Saccharomyces cerevisiae S288C: one gene and its partner. Changing the gene in region 1 together with any one later gene gives a genetic interaction. Each region holds a gene or a part of one and is shown in the gene's direction. Other genes may lie near its edges.

What was found. Genes that interact genetically often act in the same process or in processes that back each other up.
Region 2: mutations in AUR1 (region 1) and MSN4 impair growth when combined (synthetic growth defect), as found in Saccharomyces cerevisiae (one study listed by BioGRID).

What each region holds. Positions count from the first base shown.
Region 1 is NC_001143.9:433,810-437,638, forward strand, and holds AUR1 (inositol phosphorylceramide synthase), read left to right. Parts: upstream 1-1,770; coding exon 1,771-2,976; downstream 2,977-3,829. Other genes in the region: BYE1 (Bye1p), read right to left, coding at 1-1,068; mitochondrial 37S ribosomal protein bS6m MRP17, read right to left, coding at 3,288-3,683. UniProt on the Saccharomyces cerevisiae protein: Catalytic component of the inositol phosphorylceramide synthase which catalyzes the addition of a phosphorylinositol group onto ceramide to form inositol phosphorylceramide, an essential step in sphingolipid biosynthesis.
Region 2 is NC_001143.9:320,292-325,620, forward strand, and holds MSN4 (stress-responsive transcriptional activator MSN4), read left to right. Parts: upstream 1-2,936; coding exon 2,937-4,829; downstream 4,830-5,329. Other genes in the region: putative Mg(2+) transporter MNR2, read left to right, coding at 1-382; YKL063C (uncharacterized protein), read right to left, coding at 724-1,227. UniProt on the Saccharomyces cerevisiae protein: Positive transcriptional factor that acts as a component of the stress responsive system. Recognizes and binds to the stress response element (STRE) which is involved in the response to various forms of stress (heat, oxidative, osmotic, etc.).

The sequences.
Region 1 (3,829 bases):
ATCCCTTTTCTCTTTAAATTCTTGTAAGTCAGGATTTGCGAGTTCAGATGCGTTCATGTTCACCAGTTTATTTAAAGGCAATTTGCCCTCGACAACGTGTGCCTTCAGTTCCAAATTTTTTTTATCCTTTAAATTAGAGTATAACGACCTCACTTTCTCTGTGTATATCTTGTCCAAAGTACCAAACTCGACGTTAAGGCAAGCTTTGTAAAGTTCTTCTTCCAGATTGTGCGCAAACTCTTGCGATATCGATATAACGTCTTTCCCATCAGGAAGCTCATAAAGTTTTGCCTCAATTGTTTCGGGAACGATGAATTTGCTAAATAAGGTAGAGAACATTTTTTCTGCATTATACCTCAGTTTGTGTTCTTTTTCGCTTTCAAAATCTTTCCTAGTAGGCATTTCGTTTTCGGCAGTATCAGACTTGGCGGCATCAATGCTTTTATTCCTTTTTTTTGACCCATTGGATTTCTTCACCTGTTTGGATTTGATATGAATTCCTTTGGCACTATCGGGGCTCCTTTTTCGTTTCCTAGGGCTTTCCTCATCAAGAAAGACATCTGCATCATTGTCATCATGGTCATTTACGGGCTTGTAAACATCATCATGGTAATCTTCATCCTCTGAAACCTCTGCCTCCTTTGACGTTTCCAAATGTGCATACAATGATGGGTCGCACAATTCACAGTAGTACTTAGAATCTTCACTCATTAGCCCATCTATGGTGTCTTTACCATCAGTCATACATTTAATATGCTGCCAAGTGTCACAGCCATCGCACTGTACCATGTCGCCATGCGAATATTCTGCAGCATCGTAGTTTTCATTGTTCGCCCCACACAGACATCTAACATAGCCCTCATCCGCTTCGTCTACTTCGTCTGTTCTTACATTTTCAGTATCTTTCCTTGGCTCCTGAGAAGAATCAGACTTCTTATTCTTCTCTATGGCTGAATCAACTTTCTTTTTAGTTCTTTTTTTCTTTGGTGCTTCAGTCTCCTCCTGTAACAAATACTCAATATATTTATTCTGACCCTTATTAGATCTTGAAGAAGTACGGACAGACATAATAAATTTAAACTAAATAAAAGCTAAAAGTAAAAGAGAACCTAGGATAATCGATAGCTCCCTGTGTATAGAACAAGTCAAAATACTAAGATCTCGTCAACCTATCCTCTTTCATTGCAAGCCTTTTGGCCAAACTGCAGTCTGGGCATCCCTTTGCATGTCTTGTGAAATAGTATCCATCTCTCCCCAGCTCCCAGAAATGATATGAAAAGTTATTCGTGAAGAGTGATCCTAAAACTGAAAAAAGGAAAAAACAAAAATGAGCTAAAAAAACCACAACAAAAGAATATCAACTTCATTGCTTGGCGGGTCATCGCTTTTTTATTTCTTTCTGTCAAAGAATAATAAAGTGCCCATCAGTGTTCATATTTGTTACAAAGTGGTTTTCTGATTTGGTACTACTGCAGAGGCGTATTTTTTGCTTCAGTTACCATAGCGTAAGAACACTAGCGACTTTTGTTCGTGAACCAACAGAGTAGGATTTCTACTGCTACATCTCTTAGGTAGTTGGTTAGTCCGATCGCTCACTTTTGGTTGTTGTTAAGTACTTCATAAGTTTATCCTTTTCCTTTTTCACACTGAGCTACTTTGGGTATAGCTTTTGGCCCAAGGATCTTTGAATTTTCTCCAAAAGTACTTTATTTTATATCCTACAGGTTGCGGTTTTCATATTTTAAAAAGCTTTTAATCATTCCTTTGCGTATGGCAAACCCTTTTTCGAGATGGTTTCTATCAGAGAGACCTCCAAACTGCCATGTAGCCGATTTAGAAACAAGTTTAGATCCCCATCAAACGTTGTTGAAGGTGCAAAAATACAAACCCGCTTTAAGCGACTGGGTGCATTACATCTTCTTGGGATCCATCATGCTGTTTGTGTTCATTACTAATCCCGCACCTTGGATCTTCAAGATCCTTTTTTATTGTTTCTTGGGCACTTTATTCATCATTCCAGCTACGTCACAGTTTTTCTTCAATGCCTTGCCCATCCTAACATGGGTGGCGCTGTATTTCACTTCATCGTACTTTCCAGATGACCGCAGGCCTCCTATTACTGTCAAAGTGTTACCAGCGGTGGAAACAATTTTATACGGCGACAATTTAAGTGATATTCTTGCAACATCGACGAATTCCTTTTTGGACATTTTAGCATGGTTACCGTACGGACTATTTCATTTTGGGGCCCCATTTGTCGTTGCTGCCATCTTATTCGTATTTGGTCCACCAACTGTTTTGCAAGGTTATGCTTTTGCATTTGGTTATATGAACCTGTTTGGTGTTATCATGCAAAATGTCTTTCCAGCCGCTCCCCCATGGTATAAAATTCTCTATGGATTGCAATCAGCCAACTATGATATGCATGGCTCGCCTGGTGGATTAGCTAGAATTGATAAGCTACTCGGTATTAATATGTATACTACAGCTTTTTCAAATTCCTCCGTCATTTTCGGTGCTTTTCCTTCACTGCATTCCGGGTGTGCTACTATGGAAGCCCTGTTTTTCTGTTATTGTTTTCCAAAATTGAAGCCCTTGTTTATTGCTTATGTTTGCTGGTTATGGTGGTCAACTATGTATCTGACACACCATTATTTTGTAGACCTTATGGCAGGTTCTGTGCTGTCATACGTTATTTTCCAGTACACAAAGTACACACATTTACCAATTGTAGATACATCTCTTTTTTGCAGATGGTCATACACTTCAATTGAGAAATACGATATATCAAAGAGTGATCCATTGGCTGCAGATTCAAACGATATCGAAAGTGTCCCTTTGTCCAACTTGGAACTTGACTTTGATCTTAATATGACTGATGAACCCAGTGTAAGCCCTTCGTTATTTGATGGATCTACTTCTGTTTCTCGTTCGTCCGCCACGTCTATAACGTCACTAGGTGTAAAGAGGGCTTAATGAGTATTTTATCTGCAATTACGGATACGGTTGGTCTTATGTAGATACATATAAATATATATCTTTTTCTTTCTTTTTCTTAGTCAGGATTGTCGTTTAGCATAATATACATGTAGTTTATTTAATCACATACCACTGATTATCTTTAGAATTTTATAAATTTTTGAAATAAATGGGTGGCTTTTAATGGTGTCTATGTTAAGTGAGGCTTTTAGAATGCTCTTCCTGCTTTGTTTATTATATGTGTATGAAAGATATGTATGTATTTACATGTGTTTGTAGCGTCCCCAGTCAAAACCTGTGCGCTATACCTAAATGGATTGATAATCTTCATTCACTAATTCTAAAATAGACTTCTTCCCCAAAGAACGGTGTAACGATGAGGCTCTATCCAGCTGCTTATCTAAATCAACTTTAACGATGGATGATCTTATGACACGGGGATCTTTCTTTAAAGTTCTTAGAATTTCAGACTGTACCGCAGCTGATGAATCAAACAGCATTAAAAAGTGATATGCTCGAAAATGTTTTTCCTGGTCTTTCTTCATTATTTTAGGAAGATACCTTATGCCCATGGGTACAATGTCCCTCACCACACCTCTGTTTTGAATAATCAGTTTCCCGATTGTGGAAGACAATTCTTTTGCTTCCAACTTTGGCGCATTGGAGTTGGTTATGCGAACAAGTCCGATCAGCTCATAAAGCATCTTAGTGAAAAGGGTGGTTTTGCGTTATTCTTTCCTCTGTTGAAGCTTTTCTATTTTGTTTAAGCTGAACTAGTGGGAGTTTCCATTAAAAGGCTAAAGTCTTGTTGAAACTTTTCCGGGTTAGATGATAACTGCGAAAAGATAGA
Region 2 (5,329 bases), 110 kb from region 1:
AAGGTATAATGAGCAATGGGAAGCTTCGCCACAATCTGAAATCGCAATGTATTTGGGTGATATTCAAGATCATATTGTAACCATGGTCTCATCGCTAAACCATTATGAAAAACTGTTAAGTAGATCGCATTCAAATTATCTGGCACAAATCAACATTGATATGACGAAGGTTAATAATGACATGAACGACGTTTTGGGAAAAATTACCATACTGGGTACTATTGTTCTGCCAATGAATGTGATTACGGGTCTGTGGGGTATGAATGTTATCGTGCCCGGACAATACAGGGATTCGTTGACATGGTTTATAGGCATTGTGCTTTTTATGTGTATGCTAGCATGTTCTGCATATATGTATACTAAGAGAAGATTCGGGTTTTAATTTAAGTGTTTTTTCGCGCATTAGCGCTTGCTTTTCCTTCGATTTTAATTATCAGCCTAAATTATTGTTGTCTTTCCCGAAGGATAGAATTGTAAATTATCAGCGCCGTATCGTATACTTGTGGTGATAAATATCTTTAATCTATTTATGTTTTTTTTTTTTTTTTTTTTCGTGTCTGGTTTCTACATGTTTGTGAACGTTCTGCATATCTTTATGTACGTACACAGTATGTTAGTATGCACTTATACTATACAAAGAATAAGGGAGGTGAGGTTAATCAATAAGGTTAACGTAAAACATTTATTATTTTCATCACCAAACTGTTGGAAGTTTTGAATTGGTTAATTATCAAGGATTTCATTGTTAGCCAAATTTTCCTTGGCGAGATCTTGTTTCTCTTTCTGGAGTTGCTGTTTTTGTTCTTTTTTGTCCTTGTTTATTTGTTTTTGCTTTTCTGAATCAATTTGTGGTTTCAAATCGTTCTCCAAATTCTTTACTTCTTGTTGCTTTGCGACTTCATTATTGAACTTTTCTTTAGGTACTTTAGCTTGTTGTGGTTGCTTATTGTTAGTCGCATCAGCTGCACCGCCGGCTGCAATATTGGTATGATCGCTTGCACTTGCAGAAACATCAGAAGAATGGCTTTCTAGCTTGATCTCAGTTTCTTTATTCAGATCAGAATAGGCAACTTTTATAACGAAATAAACGCCACATAACAGTATAATGTATACTATAATCTTTTTCATAGGGGTAGTCAGATAACCGCCCCTTCTTCTGGAATTATATTTGCTTCCTGTTTTATAACGAGGTAAAAGATCTTTTTTCCTTCTGATATCGCCCTGCATATTTTCTATAATTATGAATCACTTTAGTTTGATTTATATTTGCTCAGAATACCCTAGCTTTATCTATATAGTACTACTACTTTGGAGGGGAGGAACGTATGTTGGAAGGCAATAGCACTCTGGTAAAGTGCTAACTCTTAATGTTAATGACGAAATCACTTTTTTTGCCTTTCTGAAAGATTGGAAGACTGTCACTGAGAAATTCGCTATTCTTTTCTTTTTCTTCGTGTTTTTTTTTGTTAGAATACTGCACAGCTTGCTATCCCGCTGCACAGCTTGCTATCCCGCTGCACAACATGAAATTGCTCACGTCGTGCCAAATTACATATAGGTGCTTACCCTGTTTATATTTTTTGCCTTCATAGCGGAGTTTTTAAGGGTAGCCCTTATGTTTTTAGCGTTCATTTGAACGAATGGCTAACGCTAAACGGAGAAGAGAGGAAAACAAGGCCGCTGGCGTTATTGCGCGTAAAAACAGGAGATAAGCACTGTTTAACATACATTTCATTGAAAGCTTAAAGCCGCAAAAGATGAAGGGTTTTCAAAATTTTCATCTCTTGCAGTATAAGGATGCAGTGAATCTATCTACAGACAGTTGATAAAAACGTCTACCTTGCCTAGTGTACCCAGCTGCTGTCAACTTCTTTCCTTAGCGCGTAAAGAGCTATGTTTTCGATAAAAGATGCAACATAAATGCTACGATGTAAGGCACCCAGGACCTCTGAAGGCAAAGAAGTTGTGAAATTTGAAAAATAATCGCTCAAAAAGGAATAATTGTCAAGCGTAACGATTTTTTTGATTTTCCGAAATCAGGGGAGGGGAAAAGAAAAGGGGAAGGGGTCTCCTCACAGGTATTGTGAGCTCCAAGCAATCATTTTGCCAGCACTAGGAAATAATAAAATGAAAGAAAAAAACATACATAGAAAGTGCCGCTCCGGGGCATTTTGAGCGCGGCAAAAAAAGCCCGAAGATCCGTTCCTCGAAGGAACGGCAACCGCACACCAAGAAAAAGGGAAAAAGGTGGGGTTGGCTGTAAAGTACGAGCGCGGGGACGGATCCGTAACAATTTCTATGTGGGGCCAGCAGCCGGCTGCTGGTGGGTACTGTTGTACGAAGCGGTTGGTAGCGATGACAGTGGCCAGGGCTGCTAGGCATGGTGCCGTGAAAACCCAGCGCAAATGTCAGGCTGCAGGAACCGGCTTTCTCCCACGAGGTTTCACTGCTGGCGGCGTACTGGTCATTTTTAGAACCTGAAAACCCGAGCTAGAACTAGGACTCTTGAGCAATAAGGTTTGCGCATTGCTATTCTCCGGATAAACCAAACCCACCCTTTTAAGAGCGTTTAACAAAGGTCTCTTATCTATCAAAAGTATTATGGCTATTTCTGGGATTCCGCTTGCGGGCCTTTCTACCCTCTTGATGCTACACATGTTTCCCTTAGATGCATGAGCATACCTGTAGGTACTTAAATTTTATTTTTATGCATCTTATTTCTGTCTAAATTTGTATATAACAAGCAACTGCAGTTCTGTGATGTGTTTTTCGCAACTGGTCAACAGGCTTAAGAATTTTTCCGTCTCTTTCCGTTTTATTTCCAGAGAATTAACATTTATAGAGAAAAGAATTAAAACGTGAAATTTCCTTTTTGAATATTTAACGCCTTTATCAGTTCGGCTTTTTTTTCTTTTCTTCTTATTAAAAACAATATAATGCTAGTCTTCGGACCTAATAGTAGTTTCGTTCGTCACGCAAACAAGAAACAAGAAGATTCGTCTATAATGAACGAGCCAAACGGATTGATGGACCCGGTATTGAGCACAACCAACGTTTCTGCTACTTCTTCTAATGACAATTCTGCGAACAATAGCATATCTTCGCCGGAATATACCTTTGGTCAATTCTCAATGGATTCTCCGCATAGAACGGACGCCACTAATACTCCAATTTTAACAGCGACAACTAATACGACTGCTAATAATAGTTTAATGAATTTAAAGGATACCGCCAGTTTAGCTACCAACTGGAAGTGGAAAAATTCCAATAACGCACAGTTCGTGAATGACGGTGAGAAACAAAGCAGTAATGCTAATGGTAAGAAAAATGGTGGTGATAAGATATATAGTTCAGTAGCCACCCCTCAAGCTTTAAATGACGAATTGAAAAACTTGGAGCAACTAGAAAAGGTATTTTCTCCAATGAATCCTATCAATGACAGTCATTTTAATGAAAATATAGAATTATCGCCACACCAACATGCAACTTCTCCCAAGACAAACCTTCTTGAGGCAGAACCTTCAATATATTCCAATTTGTTTCTAGATGCTAGGTTACCAAACAACGCCAACAGTACAACAGGATTGAACGACAATGATTATAATCTAGACGATACCAATAATGATAATACTAATAGCATGCAATCAATCTTAGAGGATTTTGTATCTTCAGAAGAAGCATTGAAGTTCATGCCGGACGCTGGTCGCGACGCAAGAAGATACAGCGAGGTGGTTACCTCTTCCTTTCCTTCTATGACGGATTCTAGAAATTCGATCTCTCATTCGATAGAGTTTTGGAATCTCAATCACAAAAATAGTAGCAACAGTAAACCCACTCAACAAATTATCCCTGAAGGTACTGCCACTACTGAGAGGCGTGGATCAACCATTTCACCTACTACCACTATAAACAACTCTAATCCAAACTTCAAATTATTAGATCATGACGTTTCTCAAGCTCTGAGCGGTTATAGTATGGATTTTTCTAAGGACTCTGGTATAACAAAGCCAAAAAGCATTTCCTCTTCTTTAAATCGCATCTCCCATAGCAGTAGCACCACAAGGCAACAGCGTGCCTCTTTGCCCTTAATTCATGATATTGAATCTTTTGCAAATGATTCGGTGATGGCAAATCCTCTGTCTGATTCCGCATCATTTCTTTCAGAAGAAAATGAAGACGATGCTTTTGGTGCGCTAAATTACAATAGCTTAGATGCAACCACAATGTCGGCATTCGACAATAACGTAGACCCCTTCAACATTCTCAAGTCATCTCCGGCTCAGGATCAACAGTTTATCAAACCCTCTATGATGTTGTCGGATAATGCCTCTGCTGCCGCTAAATTGGCGACTTCTGGTGTTGATAATATCACACCTACACCAGCTTTCCAAAGAAGAAGCTATGATATCTCGATGAACTCTTCGTTCAAAATACTTCCTACTAGTCAAGCTCACCATGCAGCTCAACATCATCAACAACAACCTACTAAACAGGCAACGGTAAGCCCAAACACAAGAAGAAGAAAGTCGTCAAGTGTTACTTTAAGTCCAACTATTTCTCATAACAACAACAATGGTAAGGTTCCTGTCCAACCTCGGAAAAGGAAATCTATTACTACCATTGACCCCAACAACTACGATAAAAATAAACCTTTCAAGTGTAAAGACTGTGAGAAGGCATTCAGACGCAGTGAGCACTTGAAAAGGCATATAAGATCCGTTCATTCAACGGAACGCCCTTTTGCTTGTATGTTCTGTGAGAAAAAATTCAGTAGAAGTGACAATTTATCACAACATCTAAAAACTCACAAAAAGCACGGTGATTTTTGAAAAAAATAAGGTCAAAAGCAAATAAAAGCAAGACAAGCTACGGTATGACAAGTTTTCGGAGAAATAATATTCTTTCTTCCTCAGTTTACAAAACAAGTAGGTTGGTCATTTCATTCGGATATATTCTAAGGAATGAAATGAACATTGGTGTTTGTTTCTAATATAATCTTAAGATATTTTAAATTGTTTCTTTCCTTTTTTGCCTTTCTAACTATTACTTCAACTTCTTTTCCGTATATTTCCGTTTTTTCCATTTGGCAGATTAAAAAAATTGTGCACGTTCTGGTTTTAACGTATAGACTTCTAATATATTTCTCCATACTTGGTATTTTTTATTCACTTTTTTTATACATATTTGGTTTTTTTATACAATATCAAAAATCAATAATAATTAATTTAATAACAAGAATATGTTGCTGTGATGACTCTTAATATACAATTGGGAAGCATTCAAGGATTGGTACGACGTTTGCTTTCTGATAATTAAACGCTTGGCGTTT